Linked DNA regions of Rhinolophus ferrumequinum. The protein of the gene in region 2 interacts with the protein of the main gene of each other region in a pairwise test. Links are inferred from orthologs where the notes say so. Each region holds a gene or a part of one and is shown on either strand. Other genes may lie near its edges.

Region 1 (8,083 bases), on a different chromosome or scaffold from region 2:
TCTTTGGCTCTTTCCTGGGCTCCATCCCCTGCCCACCCCTCACCCTGTGGGTTTTCATGTTCCTCCTCGCAAGCCCACTCGCTCCCTGGGGCCACTTACCTCTCATCCCAAAGGCTGTCTCAGGCTGTGGCTGACTTTGTCACCCCTCCATCCTCCCACCCCCGTCCATTCCCCACTCAACAGACACTCGTATCTAGTCCCGTCCTTTCAGGCCAGCTGGGGCGTGGACGCTTGCCCTGCCAAGTGCCCTGGACCCCCTCGGGGACTCTCCTTGATCTCCTTTGGCAATAAATCGGGCCATAAAGTTTTCCTGGCTGTGCTGGGGTGGGTCCCACTATACATGATTGATGCCACACGGCCATGGGGAGCACCACAGGTCAGGGAGGGAAACAGGCAGGCCGGGTGCCAACAGGAAGCCCTCTGGGTGTTCAGGGAGGGGAGGAGTGTGGCTGGATATGAGCCAAGGCCCCTCCTCCTCCCTTTCATCCCTCACTCCCCTTCTTAGCGCTCTGGTACCCTCCCAATACAGTCCAATTCAAAACTCCACCCAACAGAGCCTCAGCCTGCCCCTCCTGCTCCAACTTAATTATCAGACACACCGTGGGGCTGACCGTATACCAACACTACCGTAGGCTTTCATAGAGATACGCTCCTTTAATTCTTATAGCTTATGAAGTAAGTACTAGTATTGTCCCAACTTTACAGGTGAGGAGACTGAGGCACAGAGCAATGAGTTAGTAATGGCAGAGCCAGGAGGTGAACCCGAGCCATATGGGTCCAGTCTGTGCCCTAACTGCTCCATTGTGTGACTTCAGTTTCTTCCTTCCTGTGTCATTCCTGTTCCCCCAAACATACCGACTTCTCACCTATCACTTGCCTGTTCCCACTTTCATGCTTTTGTGCTCAATGTTCCCTCTGCCTAGAAGACTGTTCTCTCCTTATCCCGACAAATTGTGCTTATTCTTAGAGAGCCAGTCAAGTGTCCCCTTCCCTGGGAAGCCACCCTGGACCCCGCTCTGCCCACCCCCTGCTGTCTTCTGTGTTCACATGGCGCTCTGCACACTCCACGGCAGAAAGCCTTGGCACTTGGGGCTCCTTAATTGTCCCACCCCCAGATGCCCAAAGTTTGGTCCAGGACATTGAATCATTGGTAAATGCAGGATGACCTGAGGGCACAAAGAGACACGAGACTCCATACCCTGCCCTCTACAAGCTTATATTCTGGTGGGACAACTGACCCACAAGCAACCTGTGATCCAAGGGGATCAGTGTCCCCAGGGAAGCACAAAGAGCCTGCAGTGTCACTGGCTCCGATGGATGGAGAATGCTTCCCACCGGGCAGTCAGGCTGGCTTCCCACCGTGGTCAACTTGTGTACTAGCCCTTGAAGGATGAAGAAAAGTCCAGTGGCCGAGTGGGGCCCATGCAGGCAGGAGAGCTGGGGAAAGGATTCCAGGCTGGCAGACGCAGACAGGTAGGAAAGCAGGCCATACTGTGAGGGCCATGATTTCAGCTGAGCTGCCGACCCCAGCAGACGGTGAGCTGCAGGAGGGCAGGGCGCGCGTCTGCTTGATGCTCCATGGTATCCTTGCCAGCACCCAGCGCAGTGCCCGCATCGTGGGTGCATGGTAAGGATTTGTTGGAAGTAGATCTCACGGGGTGTGAGGTCTTATATAATTTGGTGGCTCTGTTAAGGAAGAGGATACCAAATTCCTAATATAAATGTAGGCACAAAAGCGAATGTTCAGTTGTGATGAGCATAGCAAGCTGTGCAACAGACCTGAAGCTGCAGTCGCTTCACAGTTAATCCCCACTCTGGTCAGAAGAATATAAGGGGGGGGGTCAGGGGGGGCACCGGGCTGACAAGGCTAGCCTTTTCTATCTGCCCCAGAGGCCCAGCTTTAGAGCCGCCTCTGAGCCCTCAGTCACCCTCCCAGACAAGCCACCATGACCATGCCTCTGTCACACTGCTTCGTGGGCCTCTCAGCCGCAAAAAGGCCGGATTCTCCCAGGTCAGGAGACTTCCTCCCCCTGGGAAGGTAGCCAGAGGGCAAATGTGGGCGGCTGAGAACTGTTTGCCCGTCACCTCCAGGGGACCCTGGGCCTCAGGGGTCATGGAGGGTCTGTTCTGAAAGCCTCCTTTTCATTCTGGCCTTCTGCTCATCTGACCTGCTCAGGAGGCTCTCGCAGCAGGGGCAGCAGAGAACCGCTTTCTGAGAGCCTCATTCATCTCTCAGTGCTGAGGTCTGACAAGGGACTGCTGCCACTCTGCTGGGGGAGTGGGTGGGGGTGCACTGACGCGGAGGGGCTCCCTGCCCATGGGGCCAACTAGACATGAAAGACGTAATTACAGAGTCTTCAAGCTGAGAGATTCCACACCAAAGGCAGACTTCCTGGGGAAGTGCAGGAAGGTTTCTCAAAGGAAGAGACACTTGATTTGAGAGACGGAGCTATTCATTCAACAATTAATTACTGAGCACATACTATGTATTAGGCTCCAAGGACATAGCAGTGAAGAGGACAGATGGGCATTTGCCCCAAAGTTTCTTCCCTTCAGTCCAGAGCGAACCAGGAATTGACTCAGGAGAGAAAGGGAACACAGTCCCTCAGACAAAGGGAACAGCAGGAACAACAACATAGAAGAGACTGCATCCTGCCTGTGGATGGCACAGAAAGACGTCTGGTGCCAGGGGAGAGGGAAGCAACTGGGAGACGAAGCTCGTTGGGTTGGCAGAGAGCAATAATGGAGGGGCTGCAACCCCAGGCCAGACACTTAGGATTTGATCCTGCTGGCAACTGGGAGGCACAGAAGGTTCTAAACAGAGAAATCATAAGGTTTCGTAGCACCATTACCAAGCTCAACTTATAGGCAAAATAGCCTTCTACCAGCCCTGAGGCCGCAGGCACCAGTGGGAGCTTCCTGGGGCCAACCTCCCCACCCCCCACCCCTGGGCTTGGCTAGGAGAGGGCACCCCTCCAGCCTGGACTTCAGCCTCCAGCTCAGCCCCTTCCTTATTCTTCCAACCAACTTGAAGGCTGTTGCACTCTTAAGAGGGGATAGGACAGAGCCCTGGGTCCAGGCATCACTGAGGATTCCAACCCTTCCTCATGCAGGCCCCACGCCATTTGCCTATTGCGGGCTTTAAGTGTTATCACACTACCTGGTTTCCCTACAAAGCTCTGTCTTTCCCATCGCAATACCTGACTTAAAAACTTCCCAGGACACCCCCTCTGGCAGCCAATGAGTTGGCCTTCAAGACTGAGTCCTCCCCATATCCCTGCTGGGTTCAGGGTCATGAGCAGGCCGCTAACAGAGTTGCTGGCCCTTAGAATAGTCTGAACTCCCTTTTGTTTGCCTCCACTTGCCTCTTCACACTTTTCTCTTCCCATCAGTTCTGCTGTTCCTTCTCTGGGAGCTCCAGCCACCCTGAACTCCTCTGGGTTCTCCAACGAAGTAATGCTCTCCCTCACCTCCAGGGTTTTCTCCAGACTAGCCTTTGCCCAGACCACTGTCCATTCACTTAGGTTCTCTCCTAACCTAGCCAACCCCTACTTCCGAGCCTGCCTGTCACTCCCTCAAGGAAGCCTCTTCCAATCTCCCCAAAATAGGCTAGGGGTCCCCAGAGGCGTTCTTTCAGATTCCATGCCTTTGCATGTGCTGTTTCCTCTGCCAGGAATAAGCCTTCCCTCCGTTCTCTGAAGCCTGGTGCCTGCCCAGCCCCTGATAAGTAGCAGTATTTCTATTGCCCTTACAGATGAGGAACCAGAGGCTCAGAGAGGTCCAGTAACCTGTTCAAAGCCACACAGCTTTGCTCCAGAATGCGGTAATGATGAGCGGATAGACTCTCGTGCCAGCTTTATGGTCTTAGGAACATCGCTTTGCCTCTCAAGTGCTTTGATGTCCCCAGCAGTTGAATGGGGGTATCTACTGCATAAGGTTGGTGTGAGGCTTACAGAAAAGCTGTATTGGGTGGCCTCCATCCCTTTGCTCCCCAGGCCATTTAGTGGCTTTCACATGGCCCCAGAAGCACATTCAACATTCACTCTTTCATACATCAAAACCCTCCATGCCTGCTCTGTGCCTCGCCCTGTACAGGGTGCTGGAGCCTCGGGAGATGTAAATCAGACACAGCTCCAGCCCTAAGGCTGGAGGGGAGGGGCAGCAGAGGGCATAAAGGTCACTCACGCACCTCTGCTCTTGACTTCATATTTTTAAAACTGATAACGACTCTCCTCCCCGCAGAAAAATGTTTTAAGAAAGATCTGCTCTTTATTTTCAAAAACTTAATTTTTCACCGCTTCCTGAAATCTGAATATTTCGCAGCATGCAAAGCTCACCTCCTCGCATTGAGCCCTAGAAGTTGGGGAGGTAGACGACTACTGTGAGAGCTGTGTCCCGAGGGCTCCACTCTCCCTGTTGATTCCACTACCCTGGATAACCCAGCTCGCCTCTATCCAGCTTCTCTCCCTCCCCCGACCCCAGTACCTATCCCATGACTCCCCCTCTCCCACACAAGGCAGTCCCCGGGCTCAGGTCCCAGACAATCCGGTCCTCTTCACCTCTCCTTCCATCCGGGTCCCCACGTTACCCTCCCTCCAGCTCCTCTCTTTAAAGTCCCCCACCCCCCTGCGTGGTCCCCGCTCCAGCCGCACCTCTCCACTATCGGCTCCGCCCTCACGAGGTAGAGTCCACTTTCCGCAGAGCTCCGTTCTTTTCCCACTCTCTCCCCCATTGGCTCCTGCTGGGCCGAGGAAAGGATTCGTGGTCCGGGAAAGGGGCGGGGTTTCGGGCTGACTCCGCCCAGTTCGGGCGGGGCGGCGCCGGCTTGCGCTCAGGCGCTGGGCGGCGCTGCCTCAGCTCTGCTCGGCTGGGGCCGCAGCTCCTGCGGGGGTGGGCGACCGCGTTGACAGCGGCGGGGGTGGCGGCAGCTGCGGCGCGAGGCTGAGCGAGCGGCGTGCGAGCCGGGGGAAGAGGAGGAAGTGGAGCTGCGGTGCGGAGCTCCAGAGTCGGCTGCCGCACGGAGGTCCCCCCGATTTTTCAGAGCGAGCCGAGTCTGGACCTGGGAAGACTTCCCCGCCCGGCGCTGGCGGCCGCTGCTCCTCGCAGGCGTCCTGACCTACCCCGCCTGCCCCGGCCCTGGATTCCGCGCTGGGACGCTCTCAGCCCTGCAGTCCGGCGTGTCGTGGCCGGGCCCCCCGTAGCCCCCGACCCTGATCCAGTGCACCTGGGCGAGACGCTCCTGGCCCACCCTACGGGTCCATGGCTGCGGGCTTCTTCACAGCCTTTCTATAGTGTGTGTCGGAGTCCCCAGCTCTCCGCCCGGGCTTAACGCAGGGTGTCCCCAAGCCCCCGACTGAGTGCAAAGGAGCCCGGACGCCCCCAGCCTCTGTCTCCCCTAGACCAGGACTTTTAGCTGCTTCCGACCCGGTGCTGCTTCGGACTTGGGACGTTGTGAGCTACCGGGAAGCCCCGGCCCGGGTTCAGCGCCCCGTGAGGGGTCCCAGGCGGGCTGGACAGTCGGACGGAGCCGGACCCGGCTGGTGCTGAGAGTCGAAGCTACTACCACTTGCCTTCCTAGGCGAAGGGCTTGGCGCTTGCCCCGAAGAGGACCCAGGGGCCCCTCTGCCCCGGCGGCCGGCGGGAGCCGAGAGCTGCAGGTGAGAGAGCCCCGGATGCCGGGGCTAGGAGGGGCCTCTGACCCCATCCGGGCAGCGCCCGGGCCGGCGGCGGGGGTATGCCAGGCACTAGCTGAGGCTGGAACTGGCTAGGAGGGGGCGCGGGAAAGGGAGGCGGGAAGGGAGAAAACGGGCACTTATCGAGCGCCCATTGTGTGCGGGTCCGCGCCCCACCCTTGCCTGAGTGGTCCCTTCATTAAGGCTCACTAAGAACTCGGTGGGATAGAAGGTGTCCTGTATATTTATGGGCTCTTACAGATGGGGAAACTGAGGCTCAACGGGGTTGAGTGACCCTGCTCTTTTCACTCTGGGGATGAGACTGTGAGGAGGGTGTGAGTGGAGAGGGAAAGAAGCAGAAATTGAAGAGTAAAAGAAAGGAAGTGGATAGCCTCTAGGCAGGAGGTGGGGGAAGGTGTAAAGATGGGGCCCCTGGGGCATCCTAGAACTGATCCTGAGGCTGGAAGGAGGTGGCTTCTCCGGGTCTCCTCCCCCCCAACTCCATGGCCATGTCACATCCCAGGAAAGGTGACCCAGAGTTGAGGGCAGAGGTGGGAAGCTTCCTACTTCCACAGTTCCCCTCCTGTGGGCCCAGGACCAGTGAACAGCGGCCCCTGGCCCTTGCCTGCCATACTCCAGGGTCTCTACGGCCCTCTGGAGGTCCTAAGACGCTGTTTATCTGTTGGGGAACCTCGCTGTAGAAGTCCCCAAGTTGGACGAGATGGACGAGGTGAGTCCCCTCAGCGCTCATCCAGCTCACATTTTTTCACGTTACTAAGGGTGGGGTGGGTATCGGGGTGCCAATTGTCCAAGGTCCTAAAGCAGTGAGTGAGGGGTTGAGCCACAGGTACACTTGAAAAGACATCCTTCAAGGTATCCATTCCACCTCTTCAGTTAGCAACTTCTGGGTGGGTGGCTGAGGTTTTCCCCAGCCCTGATGTGAGGTCAGGGTGACTACGTATGAGGCTGTTGTGAGAGTCTGTGTGGTTGGTGCTGGGGCCCAAGACATGCCAGCAACCCCATAGCCTTTGGCCCAGACTAAAGGTCTGACCTTAGCCTCTCCTGGCAGAGGAACCTGCAAGACGCTGCTGGCCTAGGAGGGGAGGGCTTGCTTTGGGTATCAATGCTGGGGCTGCCAGGGCCGGGGGTGGGGGTGTACAGTCCCAGGTGTCTGGATTCCCAGGCAGGGGCTCCTTTTGCTACCCCCCCTGGGGCAGTGCAGGGAGAGGGGTGTTGTGAAAGAGGGCTTGGCCTGGACTCTGTAGGCTCTTGTTCTGGATTGGAAGGGGGAGGAGACATGGCCCAGGTCTGAGCTCTGTGGCCTTGGCTGGGACTAGTTAACCCCTGCTGTGCCCAGCTTCCTGGAGTCTAGGGGAAACCACCTTGGAAAGCACCTGGGAGGTGGAGGACGCTGGAGAGGTCAGCTGAAGGCTGGAAACTCAGTCCTTGTGGGTGGAGAGGTCGAGGAACCTCAAGAGAAGGTGACTGAGGGGCTTGGGATTCCCCCTCCCCATGTAATCCATGGGGATTCAAATTCTCCTAATAATTCCTGCCTCTAAACAAAGCTCTTCTTTGATGAGATAATTTCACACCTGTGATCTCATTTCATGGTGTGATGGAAGGAACCTGGAGTGTGGCATAACATTATTGGGGAGCCACTTGGGACCTCTCAGATGCATTCATGGCTCCCAGCCTCACCTGTAAAATGGGGTCAAGGCAGGCTGTGGGCTGTGTGTTATCTGTTTAGATAATGGGGCCATCGTATCGAGCACACTGTCAAGTGCTAAAGAGTTTTTGTGTTTGCCAAGACTGGGCTTGTTATTCATGACTACCTTGTGTGGGAAACTGAGGCTCAGAGAAGTGAAACCGCTTACCCAGGGCCTTTGAGTTTGCTTCAGGAACTGAGCGCCACCGGCATACCAGGTGCCCTGGAAGTTACCCAGATGGAGAAGGCAGTGTGGTGACTAGCTCACAATTAATTGGGTGGGCTAAGTGGCACGGGCAGATAGTAGTGAGACAGACCAGGTGGGCAGAAATCCGCTCTGCCTCCCACTGGCCATGTGACATTGGCCAAATCACTCATCAGAGCCCCAGCTTCTTGTCTATACATTAGAATTCCTCCTTTATGAGGTTGTTGTGAAGATGAAGTGGGATATAAATATACAGTGCTTGGCCAAATATCTATTTCTTTCCCTATAAGGAAAAGAAACTTAAATTTTTACCAGAAAATATGGGAAAATTCTCAGACTTGCCTTAGAATGCAGGCTACTGTTGCCGGCGCACAGACCTAGGCTTGCTCAGATGGGACTCCTGTGTGTCAGGCTCCCCTGTGCCACTTTCCTGGTCTCATAGCCCTCTAGAATCTGCTCGGGGACCCTGGTAAAGAATCTGGATTGTGACCTCCCACCCCA
Region 2 (6,918 bases):
GAGATAGTTCAGGTTTGTCTTGTTCACTTCTGTATCTTTTGTGCCTGGTACAGGGTGGTTTGGGACATAGTAGGTAGGTAATAACATTTTTGCTAAATAAATCAACAGTTTAGTAAATTAAGTTGGACTGTGTTTTTAAAAGTGAGTGTGATTTTTCAAAATAGATAAATCAGAAGTGCATTCCGGTCTTGATGATGACATAGGCAAAAGGTGGATGCTTATAAAAAGCAGCATGTTTGTGACCTATGTGTAAGGCAGGATTGCAAAAGCTTAGCATTTGCAATATTGAGAAAGGGATGAAGCCAGAGAGGTGGGAGGGAGAAAAACAACGAGGAAAACCAGATGTCATTGTAAGGACTTTATATTTTTATTTTCTGGAAGTAGCTCACAGGAAGCCACCAAAGGTTTAAGCAGGAGTAAAATATAGCTCCATTGACAATTAGGCCGTTTTGGTAGCTGTTCACTGGAAGAAAGATAAAGACAGCATTCCTAATCTTGCCTTTTCAAAATAACTTCAACCAAGGTCTTTTGGATCTCTCAAATACATAGGATCACAGATCTAGAAAGCAGCTTGAGGAATAAACCATCAAAGTTATTCCCCTACTGTCAGATAAGAATATGTGGTCCAGTAGCCCATGTCCTATTCACTTATCTTGCAAGCAGTTGAGGTTGGTCATTTCTGTGTTAAAATGGAATAATAAAAGACAAACTGAAGACCCAGATTTTTAATTCTGGCTTAATCTCATTTATTACAACACAAACCAAATAAATTCTTCCCACACCTGAGTGACAATGAATAGCATCGTAAACCAAATAATTTCACATCAAGGAAAAATGAAAAAAAAAGGGAGAGAAAAACGTGAAAGGGGCAGCTTGCCTTAGATCAGGCACACTGAAAAGATGAAAAGGCGGTCACTCACTACTAGGAAAGAAGCAGAAGTCCCCAAAGATTGAATTTTTGTCCTTGATCCTCAGCACGATTGCTAGCTGGAACAAGGAAGCTCCTGGCCTCCTAGTGCAAAGCAAGATGGACGACAGGGGCTGAACACATGGGTCAGAGGTTGGCATCCACTGAAGAGAGGATGCAGAGGTCTGAGGCTGCTGGACACAACACTAAGTGGCTGAGCACCACAGGGCATCCACCCCAAGGGGCGGCATCCATAAGTAAGGAGGCTCAGGGGTCCACAGCTGTTGGACATAGAGCTCAGAGGTCGACAGGATATTGGGAGGCAGGAGCTGGAGGTGAAAGAAGCAGCAGGAAGAAAACGCGTTCCTTGGCAGGGTCTGGGCCCATAGTAAGCAGTGGAAGAGCAGCAGGAAGTTTCACAGTTGCTGGGCTCACAGTTTTGTGACTGGCAGCTGGTTGGTTCACTGCAGGTCTCTTGGCAATTGTCCATGAGCCAGATACCATCTTGATACCTGCTGGGAAAGCAGAGGACATCTTCACGGCTCACATTTGTAGAGCAGAGGGCATTGGAAGAGGAGAGAGGAATATAACAGGGATTTCTGAGGGATCCCAAGTTGTAGTTTCCAGAGCAGGAGTTGGGGCAAGTCATAGTGAGGTTTTGTGGGCAGGCTGTGGTTGATTGGAAAGAAATGTGTCTCAAGTTTCTTTGTGCTCCTCATCTGACTTGATCCCTTATATATCTGCAGAAGACGGTGCTTCTGTATACAGACTCTCTTCCTCCTAGTTGCATGAGGCTGCATCAGAACTCTTCATTATGACCCGGAAGTGGATGCTCTCAACTCCTATAAAATGCGGTTACTTGCAAGGCCTTCCATTGATTAAGTAAATAACACAGTGTGACTGAATTTTAATAGGATCTCACCCTCTCAAATTATCCAACCAAATTGCCACTTTTGGAGGTCATTTACTTATTCCTGTTATAAGCCCCACTGCATAAATATTCATAGAATTATTCTCTTGGAAATGTCTTTAAAAGTTGTAGCAAACTTCTTTGAAACACTGGCAAATTATTTCTCTTTGAGAAGGAATCCTAGTAAGAAGCTTAAAAGGAAGTATGTGTAAAAGAATGTGAAAAATCCTATATCTAATGTGGGTTAGAGCAGAAAGAGTTTGAAAGTAGTATAATATGGGAAATGTCAATGTGTCCAGATGTGTTTTGTTTTATTTTAGAATTCTGATAGAAAGTGACTTCCCACCAAAATATCTTTATTTAAAAGAAGTCATGCTCCTCTTATTCGTCTCAATAAATAAATAAAGAGTCAAGCTGAAAGCTGGTTTATGTTTAAAGTTGTCATAATACGTATAGATAAACAAGCTGGGGTCAGGTAAATCTATGGATCCTATGGTAAACAAAAGCAAATCAACAGAATCCCTTAAAGACAATTGAACAAAATTACATTTTTTATACCTATTATAGGATTATGTATTCATGTTACTTGTGTCCCAACTGAAAACTAATGTTTTTCATTAAAAAAAAAAAAAAGAGAGAGAGAGACATAATGATTAAGAGACGGACTTGGATTTGGTTTTGTTTTTTACATTGGTCCTGATATCAGTTTCCAGAGAGAAGCTTCTAAACTGCTTTACATGGGTAATAACATCAGAATAAATGTAGAGTTTGTCTAAGTATGAACACTTTGACGGCTATTCGGGTATATATTTTCTGGTAAAAATTGGATTAAAAAATTCATGATTGTGTTTAGCCTCAACCATTCCATTGCCTTGTTCATATACCAACATATGTAGCAGCTCCAGTGACTATATTAATGGGAATTTTCATTATCTGTTTATCTAATTTCTAATTTTATTATCTAATTTCCAATTTCCTTTAAAATCCAATGTAAGTCACAACACTTTGTTATATTTTGATGTTTAGTGGATACACCCACACCTATTGGGTCTCCCTCTGTACAGGAGGAGTAGAATCTCTGAAATGCAAGGTTGGTTTCTCTATGAGCCAATATAGGACTATTTTCCTACCAGAAATAGGAAAATGAAAATTATATAGGTCCTGTACTAACACATTGAGATTATCTCAGTATTTTAAGTCAGAGAACACTACCCTGTGATGATTTGTACCTCAAGCACTTGAAGAATCCCCTCAATCCCTCCAGTTTTCATCACTTGGTACCTTTGTACACATTGCTAGCATCTTGTGAAATCCTGGATGCAGCCGCTGAATGGTGTCAGTAATAGGTGCAGCCATATTTAACCGAATGCTTACCAAATTTATGTGTTGATGCTCTTTATGCCCGTTCTTCTCTAATATAATCAAGAGCCCAACACCTGCATCTTTAGTACATCAATATATTTGTGTGTATGTAGTGTTTATGTTGTATGCATAAACAAATGGGTTTTTCTGCATGAAGAGAATGGGTGTGGAATAAAACTAGCATTCATTTATTGTCTACTCTGGGCAACACCTTGCAGTGTAGGTACCCACATCTGTAATATCACTTTATTCGCACCATTCTTTATAGTAAATTTTACTATTTCAAGTATTTGTATGAGAAAACTTGAGATGTAGAAAGTTACGATAATTGATATGAATAAAAACCATTTAAACAAAGGGGGTTTTGTTTGGTGGTCCTTCACCCTCTAAAGGTTGTTTTTCTCCCATTATCCAGTATGACATCATATGGACATACAGTGATACCATCATCTAGTAGAGCAATTTGCACAATCGCTCTGATTCCCCAGTCACTATCAGTATCATTTTATGGAACCATGGGAGTATTAATAACTACTTTGTGGTGTCATTTAAAAAATAAATCTAGATGGAAGGAAAACTTAAATGTAAACTGTGAGATACTGTACCTACATAATTTATTTTCTCGCTTTGGCATCCTTCACCCATTCCAAGGAGTACCACCTCAGTTTAATTCCTTTACAGCACCACCATGAGAGTTATTTTTTCCTACTGTGGGTAGATAACACTGCAAAAATATCCACAGAATTTTAGAAAATGCAGTGCCCTTAATATAACAAATGTTGAACTGATGCTTTCGATAGTGACTGTATCACTAAAGGGGAAGAAGAGCTCACGTGGGCAGCACAGCAGGTACCTCATTACCAGTCTCCTATAAACTACAGGTCCCAGGCTCTGCTTCTGATGTAAGAGCCTAAAGATAGACTGAGGACCTGGGCATCCTGTGGGCTCTTCCAGATTTATCCACTTTGTTGCTTTTACTTCAGTTAACTAGGGATCCTTACCTCTCCTAATCTAGAGGAAAAATCCTGAATTTCTTCCTCTCTTGGACACAAGGAATCCTCAGAGCATTGCAACAATAAAAGTTTGCCAATAAATGACATACCTTGCATTCATTCAGTCAACAAATATTTATTGAGAACCTTATTTATGCAAAACATTATGATAGATTCTGACAATGATACCAAGACACTATCAATGTGTTTTTCCAGATGCATCCAATTCTGTAGATGTGCTAAAACAGATACACCATCCATGTCAGTGTTCACTAAATTCTATAAATGGTGTACAGAGAATGGCAAACATTGCTTATTGGTTTGCCTAAACATTGGTATTTGGTATTAATTTTGAAGGCTAGTAGGAAACAGCAGGGGGTTGGGGAAAGGAAAGACACTTCAGACTATGGTAGAACGTGTAAAGGCAGGAAAAATGACTACACGGTGCTTTTAGTGAAATGTTCTTAGAGGTAAGTTGTAATAATGAAACTTAGGTTTACCTGGTGAATCTAATTCAATCATCAAGGCAGTAGTTAAGATTTTGTTCTCTAAGCATGGTGATCCAGTAACTGATTTCAAGAAGAGAGTGCTGTGATTAACTTGCAACAGATGGGAAGGAGTGAAAATCTATTTGTAATGCTTTTCTTACTTGATCCACTAATATGTCTTGTCATCCATTTTTCCCCGCTCTGTTCTCACCGCCATCACTCAGGTAGGGTTCTGTTCCCCTTTGGTAAACACGTGCCTTTCTCACTGCCATCTTGACACCTATTGCTATTGTCATCTCTGTGGGCTAAACACCGTATGTAGGTTAATGCTCCTAAAATTCATTTCATCAGATGGCTCTCTTACTCAAAAATGCTGATGACTCTCCTTTGTCCACAGAAAGTTGTCCAAACACTTGATTCATCCTCCTCTGCTTCCCAATAGAAATTATCTTCAGTCTTGCTGGGTTCTCTGTTCATGTCTCCAATTAGCTCATTTCACATCTCTTCATTCATCTTACCCTTGTCTCCTTTGGAATAATTCTTTTTTTTTTTTTTAAATTAAAGTTTATTGGAGTGACAATGGTTAGTAAAGTTACACAGGTTTCAAGTGTACAATTCTGTAATACATCATCTATATATCACATTGTGTGTCCATCACCCAGAGTCAGTGCTCCTTCCATCACCATATATTTGACCCCCTTTACCCTCATCTGCCACCCCTCTTCCACCTTACCCTCTGGTAACCACTAAACTATTGTCTTTGTCTATGAGTTTTTGTTTCTTTGATTGTCTTGTTCATGAAATAGTGCAATTTGGGACAATGTAGATGGATCTTGAGATTGTTATGCTAAGTAAAATAAGTTAGACAGAAAAAGTTGAGAACCATATGATCTGACTGATATGTGGGATATAAAACTGGAACAATTCTTTAATTTTTCCATCTTGTAGGCTTTAGCTTAATTAGCCCTTTCTTTATAAATACCCTCTACCAACGTAGATATTTCCAGACTTAAATCTGTATAATTACTATTAATTCACACACACACACAAACACACACAAACACACACACACACACACCTTTGCATTACAAACAAAACATTCTTTCTGTATGTGTCTTATTTCCTGACTATATTATAAAACCTTTATTACCAACTATTTACTGAGTCCTTATTATATACCAAACATAGTACTACATGTTTTATACGTATTAACTGATTTAATCTTCATAACATCCCTATTCCGATAGGTCTGATCATTATTCTCAATACATGTGAGGTAACCTCGTTGATTCTTAATAAATATTTGCTGACTAACATCATAGCTTTCACAAAATATAACAGGTTTTCTTTATCAAACAAAAACTGACCTTTACTTAGCCAAGTCAGTAATCTCTTTTATATACTTTTTCCACCATCTATCCATTTTGACCAGGTAAAGTCAACTTTCATGAAATATAAAAGAACACAAAGATAGAAAGAGGTTCAGAGGGACTGAAAACCCCTTGTCAAATTTTTCTCCTGCCCATTCTAATATCCTTTATTAATATTTATCTTAGCTCGTCTTAAAGAAGACAGCCAATTATCTGGAGTCAGTCCATTGCAATCTTCAACATAGTGACGCATCCTAAATTTAGCACACCCTGTTGGATGTTATGAGTAAAATCATTATAATTCATTGGAAGAATTAAATAATTCCCTGACCTGATCAGCAATGTAGAGCTTGAAGTAACTGGTAAGGCCGCCAGGCTGTAATATACTTTCAACTAAAATTTTACTCTATTATAACATTTTTATACATGTTTCTACATATGGTTTGTGCAAGATTTGAATAAACTTTGCTCCCCTCATTCCCATTTCATTTATACACAAGAACTTTCTATGGATGATGTGAGGAAACTGTTTTGTATTAATTAACATATCCTTTCTTGCCTATATAATAGACAGTGGAGGTGGCGGTATCTCGTCTATTATTTATAGTTAAGCCCTCAAATTGTGTCTGTTTCACCTTTACAAGGTCTTTTTCAATTTCCTCTCTTTGCCTATATATTTTATCAGTTTTATTGAGGTCTAATTGACAAACAATAAACTCAACTGAACGTATTTAAAGAGTAAAATCTGATGAGTTTTGACATTTGTATATACCAAAAATTAAGATGACAATTACATTCATTACCCCTCAAATCTCCTCATAGCTCTGTGTAGTCCTTTCTTTCCATCCCTTTCTACCTCACCCCCCTCTACTCTAGTCCCCAGGCAACC
Region 3 (8,207 bases), on a different chromosome or scaffold from region 2:
TTTTTAATTCTTCCTGCCTGGTCCTCAGGCCTAATCTGTGGAGTTGTATCTCAGGAATTTCTGGTGAGAGTCATAAAGGACTGGGCCAATGTCCTCTTTAACGGGGTTGGCTTGGTTTTTGGTTAAAGAGCAGAATGGTAAACAAGGCTGCTCATGTCTCCATGTTTACAGCCCAGATGTCTTCCTTCTGTCCCTGTAAACAGAGGCAGCCTTCATGCTTTGGGTCCTAAATGGGGCAATGCAAATCATTAAGACCCTAAGGAAACACTACTCAAAGCATATGCCTCAACTTCCCCTGAAAAACTGAGTGCTCGAAGAATCTGGATCACTGACCTCCCCTGCCAGCCAGGATATTCACTGCAGTGTGGTTATGGCAGCAAAAAGCCTGGAAACAAATGGCCAGGAAAACAATACTGGTTCCCCACATCATGATGGATCCATACTTGGGTCTACGGGATAACAGCAGCTCTCTGGGCACTGCCATGAAACAACCATTCACGTAAAAGGGGGAAAAGACACGAATGCCTGTGTTGGTAAATGCAGAGGTCACTTCTGCAAGGAAATACAAGTGCTGGTTATCCCGGGGGAGGAGAGCAAGGCCTGGGACCGAGGGTGAGAACGTGTACATTTCACCGCATATATTTGTCATGTGAGCGCTTGTATCATATGAAGAAAAGAGAGAAAGGAGAGTTAAAGTGAGCAGTTGAAAATATTAGATTGATTTGTCCTCTGAGGAAGATTGGAAAGGTCAGGAAAATTTTTTTTCTCTCATTTTACACTTGAAAATATTGTACCTATGTAGGATGGTCTTGCTTTAAATTTTTGGTTTCCATCCTGTGAGTTTCAGACATTGAGGGTGGAAGAGTGGTAATTAACTCATAGCAAGCACTTGATAAAGGTTTAGTTTTTGACTGAATGAATGAACAAATGAACAAATGAATACTTCCTGGTTTGGTTGGGGATGGAGTGGGAGAATTAACTCCAGTCACATCGTTCCCCTGCTGTCCACCAGACGAAACCTGCCCTGCTAAGGACACCATTTCTACCTGTGGACAGAGACTCACCACCAAAAACATCAGCACAATGTATTTTTATTCTTCAGAGATACTGGGAAAAGGAGAGACTCCTGAGAATGACACACAAAGGACAGCAGATGACGAATGATGTTTAGAATCCTTTGAAAATAGCCCCTAGTAAAAAGCCCCAAGTTTCTGCCTCCCTTTCTCACCTACCAGAACTCCTGATAACTGAGAACTAAAGTTTAGGAAAAGAGGACTCCAAATCAATGAATAGGAAAGGCCTTTCTTCTTTTAGTGTACCCTGTATAGAAAGATTATTGAGGAAAAAAAACAATATAGCAATGGAAAAAACAAAAACAACAATACTGCGAGTTGTGTGATTCAAAGGAATCTAGTTAAGTATATCATGTGATTATTTTAAAGTAACATTCACTGTTTTTTTTCTGATTATGAAAGTAATACATGTTTCTTGCAGAAAAATTAGAAAATACAGATATACTAGAATATAAAGTAAAATAACATTTCCTTCAATCCTACCATTCTGATTACACAGTTAATAGTTTTATGTATATTCTTCAGTTTTGTGTGTGTGTGTGTGTGTGTGTGTGTGTGTGTGTGAATGTAGTATAATTGGAATCATACTCTAATCTCCTTTTTCATTTAATATATTGTGAAGATTTTTCCAAGTCATTATTCATTCTCTCAAAAAATGTTTTTTAAGAGTCAAATTATTATTTAACCAGTCCCTGTTCTAATAGTTCACTATAATAAAAAAGCAGTATGATGAAACCTCCTGTAAATAAATCTTTGTACTCATCTGCTCAATTTTTTAGAATAAATTTTCAGAAATGGAATAGTTGGAGCAAATGATACATTTTTCAATTTTCTGCATATTGCTTTTCAGAAAGATGCTATTTATATTCCCAGCAACACTGTATATTTGTCAGCACTGCATATGATGTTTATAGAAATCCTTAACAAATATGTACCCCACTCTTTCTAAAAAAAATTAATGTCTTTGCTAGTGAATATGAACATTTAAAAATATTTATCTCTTTGAATTTTTTCTTTCATGGTGTGCCTGTTCATCCATTTCTGCATTTTGGTTGTTAGTGTTTTATGTATTGATTTATAAGAGGTCTATATAGTTGACCAATCTTTGTCACATTTGTTAAAAACATGTTCTTCAATTTGTCATTTGCCTTTTTGCTGATATTTGATATGTCTAAGTCTTGCATATTTATTCAAATATATATATTCATCTTTGCCTTTTGTTTCTTTGTATGTCTTAATAACTGGTCCTTCTCCTTTGAAATAATTCACTTATATTTTCTTTTTTTTTAATTAAAAAAATTCTTTTATTGGGGAACAGTGTGTTTTTCCAGGACCCATCAGCTCCCGGTCAAGTCGTTGTTTTCAATCTTGTTGTGGAGGGCACAGCTCACTGGCCTGTGTGGGAATCGAACTGGCGACCTTGGTGTTATGAGCACTGCGCTCCAACCGCTGAGCCAACCTGCCGACCCTCACCTATATTTTCTTTTAACTGTCTTTTAATTTTTTGTTTGTTTAGTTCTTTGAGTTTGATAAAGTTAATTCATATACAGTAGTCCCCCTTATCCACCGAGGATGCGTTCTAAGACCCCCAGTGGATGCCTGACACCACGAATAGTAGCAAACCCTATATATACTATGTTTTCTCCTATACATACATACCTGTGATAAAGTTTAACTTATAAATTAGGCACAGTGAGAGATTAACAACAATAGCTAACAATAAAACAGAATAATTATAACATATTGTAATAAGTTATGTGAATGTGATCTCTCTCAAAATAGCTTATTATACTGTACATACAAGATGGCTACACTGGACAAAGGGATGATTCCCATCCCGGGAGGGATGGAGCAGGATGGCGTGAGACAGCGTAAGATTTCATCACATTACTCAGACCAGCGTACAATTAAAACTTATGAATTATTTCTGGAATTTTTTATTTAATAGTTTTAGATTGCCTGTTACTGAAACTGTGAAAAGTGAAACAGCGGATAAAGGGGAACTACTGTACTGGGATCCACAAAATGGAGGCAGCTCCAGGGGCCCCACCCCAGTCACAAATCTAAACTTACCGTGCTTACCCGAAAATAAGACCTAACCAGAAAATAAGCCCTAACATGATTTTTCAGGATGACATCCCCTGAACATAAGCCCTAATGCGTCTTTTGGAGCAAACATTAATATAAAGACCCGGTCTTATTTTCGGGGAAACACAGTAAGTCAGCCTGCACTTACGGAAAACACCTGTCATGGAGACCTAACATACACCAATCACAGTCCTCCACTTCACCTTTAGCTAGCTTTCTTTACCCTAGAAAATAGGACCTGCTAGCCTTATAAGGAAATCCCAATCTCGTAGGCAATCATGCCCTGTTTCTGTGTTGCCTCTTAATATTCCATAAAACTTGCTCTTACCCAAAATCCCTCAGGGAGAGTGCTCCACTGCTTGTAAGGCACTGTTCTCCCTAATACATGGGCTGTCTTCCCTTGAATAAAGGACAGTAACGTCATTACTAAATTGTTTGAGTTTTGACATTTGACAACTTGTTATATTTATTTTAGTGATGGTTTAAATAGATGGTTTTTATGTTTTCCCCCCAAATTAATTTCCCCAGCCTTATTGAAGAATTTATCCTTTTCCTCACAAAAGTGAAAAGATAAATGTATCATATGGTTAATTTTTAAGTATGTTGTATGTGTTTCTAAGTTTTCAACTATTCCACTGATGCACAGTCAGTGCATCAACACCACTTTTTTAATGATAGCTTTGTAATATGTTTTAAGATTTGGTAACATAGGTCTACCCGTCCATTAAAAAAAAATCTTAGCTTTTCTTACTCTTCCATTTGAGTGTTAGAACAAGTTATGTCATTTCTCCCTCACTCCCAGCTACCTACAAAAATTAGATTTTAATTAAAAGAGTTAATTTGGGTGAAGTTGGTATTTTCACCTTCTATTTCTTCAAGCCTTTCTTGTTTTAACCTCTATAATTTCTTAAGAGCACTTTTTAGTAAGTTTATTCCTAGGTACACTTTTACAAGAGTTCATAATTTTGTCATTATTATTAAAACTGCTCTTTAAGCTCCAATTGAAGTTTATCAAAGCTGACTTTAAAATTTTTTCCAGGTGGGTATTAGCTTGCAGGAAACCAGTCAGAAACTAAAGGCTCTTTAGTAGCAGCTATTTATTGAGTGTAGTTGGCATGGCGATTATCCCTTTACACGAATTATCTTATTTAGCGATAGATATCTCCAACAGGTTGGTGCAATTTTTATTCCCATTTTACACATGAGGGTTCCCAGGCTGAGAGAGTCTGAGGAACTTGGCAAATACCACCCAGTTGGTAGGTGGATTTGAAACAGGTCTGTGAATCTCCAAAAGTATCACAAAAAACAATCAGCCGATGCTGTGCCATCAGATGAGCTGATTCAAGGGAGAACCTTTCCGAAAACAATCAACTGAATTAAACAGACAATGCTTTCCACCCGCAAGTCCCTCCCAAAAGATTAGTTTTCCTCCAATGTACGGCATAGATCTGTACTTTGCAGGAGAACAATAAATACCACTTGATTTACTGAGCGTCCTTGAGAATTAGGGATTCCTGGACAATCAAGAGTGGCTTTTCTGGAGCTTTCGTGGGAATTGCCCGTATCTGCCTCCCCATCGCAGAACAGGTTCAAAAAAACCCAAACAAAAACAAAACAGGTGGAACCTACGTAACGCTGACAAGAGCAGCGCACGCAGGAGACAGAACTTTCTGGCGCATCCTGCCCGCGCGTTTCACGCGTGGTGCGCGCAGGTGGCGCCGCGGTCCCTGCGCTCCCCGCGTAAGCCCGTGGGGTGCCCAGGAGGCCACCCCGAGTCTCTGCCAAGGTGAGGGGAAGCTTTCCACCAAGGCGGGGGAGGAGGGCGGGCAGGAAACAGAGCCAGCGCAGGCGAAAGAAAGACTCCAATTCCCAGCCCCCCGCCCCGCGGGGTACGGGAGCTGGCAGCGCATGCGCGAGGCCCGGCCCCCAATTCCCTTAGCGAGGGAGGGAGGCCCCCGGCGGCCCAGAGACTGCGAGCCGCTGCGGGACCCGAGCGCACGCAGGGGCGCGGCGGCGCCGGGACGAGCGGGGCTGCGGAGGCGGCCGTCGAGAGCGTGGAGCGCCGGGCGCGAGGCCGCCGGCTCAGCTCTGGGAGGGGCTTGGCGCCCGCAGCCCCCCACGCCGGAGAGGGATGCGTGAGTTTCGCCCCGGCCCCGGGGCAGGATGTGGGAGCAGGACAAAGGCTGGGCGGCGGGGGAGGAGTTGGGGACGGCGAGCCGGTGGCCGCTGCCGGAGCCCCAGCCTCGGGCGGGCTAGCGGAGTCGGCAACTTTCTCTGCAACTTTTGCAAAAGGGAAGACAATTCTGCAAGTGATTGCACAGCTCCAGGTCGCCCCAGGTCCCACGAACAGAGGGGAGGGGACAGCGCAGCCTTCCCGGGATGGGCGGCGACCCCCAGCTCTGCTGAGGTGGTCAGGAGGGGGGCTCCCGGCCGGGGCGAATAGGAATGCCGGAGGTTACAGCCCGGGTGCCCTGCGTCCGCTGAGGTAGCTCGTGTCCACGCAGGGTGCGCCCTGAGAGCCCGGTAGCCTCGGATCGTGGCGCTGCATACGCGACGATGGATGAGCCGTGGTGGGAAGGGCGCGTCGCTTCGGACGTCCACTGCACCCTGCGCGAGAAGGTCAGTCCCTCCCCGCCCATGTCGCTCGCACGACTGGGTATTTAAAGCCCCTTTTGCTCTCGACTCGGTTTGCTCAGGTCACCCCGCGGGCGCACTAGGAGCTCCCGGTGCCTTTCTTTCCTCCTCCCTGAGCCCCTTCCCGGAGAGTCCGGGTGAGAAACGAGATTGTAGAGCTTAAGTTGGTTTTTCTGATTAGGAACCCAGAGTTTCCGACCAGCTAAACCGGGAGAGCCGCTGTACTCTTGAAGGCGGTATTCCCCACAGTATTTTCACCCAAGATCATTTTAAATGGTACATGAATGGACTTAAAAAATACTTTAATGTGCAAGTTAAAAACGTATGTAGCAGGTTCCCCATAGGGTAAGTGATGCTGATTTTCCGTTTATTGTAACGATGTAGTAGTTCCTTTTAAAATAAAGTAAAAGTAGTGACTCAATATTAGGAAATATTAAGTAAATGACAGTATAAGGTATAATAACATAGTTCTGCTCTCCCAATATCTCTCGGATGGGACTGAATAAAATGTAAGAAACACTAATCTAAATGAGAGGCTATAAATCTAGGAGGAGGTGAAGAGAAAACAAACACTCCCTGCCAGTTTGCCTCCGGTGGCAGAAGGTGGGGGCAGCTGAAATGTGATCCCTGCACTCCCTTCGCCTCAAAGAGAGAAGTGCTGATGGGCATTGAGAAGGTGGAAAAGGCCAGGTGGGCTGGAGGCATGGCCTGTGTGTCTTGCCTCCTGCTCCTGGGATGAGATGGGGAGGGGTGGTTTGGGGAACAGGTGTGAAATAGAGTGTATTAGATCCCTAGGGCTGCCATGAGAAAGTTCCACAAATGGGGGCACTTAAAACAATAGAAATGTGTTCTCTCCCAGTTCTGGAGGCCAGAAATCTGAAAACAAGGTTTCAGCCAGGCCATTCTAATCCTCAGCGTTCCTTGGCTTGTAGACTTCACTGCAATGTCTGACTGTTGTCACATGGCATTCTAGCTGTATGTGTGTGTGTCTGTTTTCTCTCCTTATAAGGACACCAGTCATTGGAATAGGGTCTACTTTAATCTCATATGACCTTATCTTAATTTAACGAATTACTGTACATCTGAAAAGACCCGATTTCCAGATATGTCCATTTGACACAATCTAGGTTCCAGGTAGACATGAATTTGGGAGGACGCTATTCAACCCAGTACAGGGAGAGTGAGGTTTTTTTAGTGGGGTAGCTAAAAAACAGGTCCCACAGCCAGTGCATTTGTACCCAATATCTATGGAATTCTGTTTAAAAAGTCGATAGCTATACAAAGTTTTTTCCTCATTTGGAAGTAGCTGTCTTCCAGTCACAATTAAGTTTTTTTTTCTCTTTTTTCCTGTACCTACTAGTCCATCTCTGTCTTGTGTTGCTTGTCCAGGCTGTAACTTTCCTTTGCTTCCCTGGGTCTTCTCCCTGGAGCAGAATGGCCAAGGTGCAGCACATTCTGGCCATCTGGAGAAGAAATCCAGGTCTTAGTGTTTGAGTAAAGTGGGATGGTAGACCAGGCAGTTCAGGCCTGGTCCTTTTCTGGAGGTGGGGGCTAAATGAATTAGTGAGGGCTGCCATGGAAATTGGGCTTCCTTGTTTATCATGGGCTCCAGTGGTTGTCAGTTCTGCTCATAGTGTGGGAGGAACGACTTTGACCTCATTTGCCCCTTTCTAGCAGGAAGGATTTCTGAGAACAGTGTAAATTCAACCAGCTCCGTTCCCTGAGAATCCCCAATCTCTTATAAATAAGTGAGCGTGTTCTAATCTCTCCTCTAGCCACTCAAGGAACAGGGCAAGCAGGTCCCCATTAATTGTCTTCACCCATGTCATAGAGCCAGATTGTTCACTACAAGGCTGCCTACCTTGAGGGAGAATGGGTTTATCCAGGTTTTACAGGTTAGAAGTAGAAAACTCACTCGGGTGAATGCTCCGGCTTACCTGTGACTTGAAGCTGGACTTATAGGGTAAATCCTGGGTTATTTTGGTTATAATGTCTCACCTCCCCAGCATATTAACTATCTTTCTTCTTTGTTTCTTCTCTCTGTTCAAAGAAGATGCTTCTCAAGAAAATTTGACTTAATGGAGAGTTTGCAGAGAAAAGTGAAGACTAGCGAGAACCCAGTATCCGCACTGTTCTCATCTTTCTTAAGGAATGAGGGCTGGCCCTTTATTTTTCCCAGACAAGTAATTTTTTTTTTTTTATTAAACATCTCTAATAATATATTCCTAACACTGTAGAACACTTTACAAGTGTCTGGCACACAGTAGATACTATGTGGTGAATGTTGCCAGATGAATAGAAAGCAAGTTACTATATATATGCTGTTGAATTGTCACATAACCACGGGCAGTTATCCTTACTTGACTGATAATGCAAGAAGCCGGGCTGGGGTCCTGGAGATAGTGGGAACCC

The links.
Region 1: the proteins of keratin-associated protein 26-1 (region 2) and GDPD5 interact in a two-hybrid assay, tested with the Homo sapiens proteins (2 studies listed by BioGRID and IntAct). The two-hybrid records come from large-scale screens. The link is inferred for Rhinolophus ferrumequinum from reciprocal best matches to the Homo sapiens genes KRTAP26-1 and GDPD5.
Region 3: the proteins of keratin-associated protein 26-1 (region 2) and CCNJL interact in binary tests that used the Homo sapiens proteins (3 or more experiments, as listed by UniProt). The two-hybrid records come from large-scale screens. The link is inferred for Rhinolophus ferrumequinum from reciprocal best matches to the Homo sapiens genes KRTAP26-1 and CCNJL.

The regions. Positions count from the first base shown.
Region 1 is NC_046294.1:50,206,219-50,214,301, reverse strand, and holds the start of GDPD5 (glycerophosphodiester phosphodiesterase domain-containing protein 5), read left to right. Parts: upstream 1-4,851; 5' UTR 4,852-5,657; intron 5,658-6,227; exon of another isoform or gene 6,228-6,402; intron 6,403-8,083. UniProt on the Homo sapiens protein: Glycerophosphodiester phosphodiesterase that promotes neurite formation and drives spinal motor neuron differentiation.
Region 2 is NC_046285.1:96,857,987-96,864,904, forward strand, and holds keratin-associated protein 26-1, read right to left. Parts: upstream 1,557-6,918; coding exon 984-1,556; downstream 1-983. UniProt on the Homo sapiens protein: In the hair cortex, hair keratin intermediate filaments are embedded in an interfilamentous matrix, consisting of hair keratin-associated proteins (KRTAP), which are essential for the formation of a rigid and resistant hair shaft through their extensive disulfide bond cross-linking with abundant cysteine residues of hair keratins.
Region 3 is NC_046307.1:29,651,285-29,659,491, reverse strand, and holds the start of CCNJL (cyclin-J-like protein), read left to right. Parts: upstream 1-4,975; 5' UTR 4,976-5,069; coding exon 5,070-5,296; intron 5,297-5,665; coding exon 5,666-5,780; intron 5,781-8,207.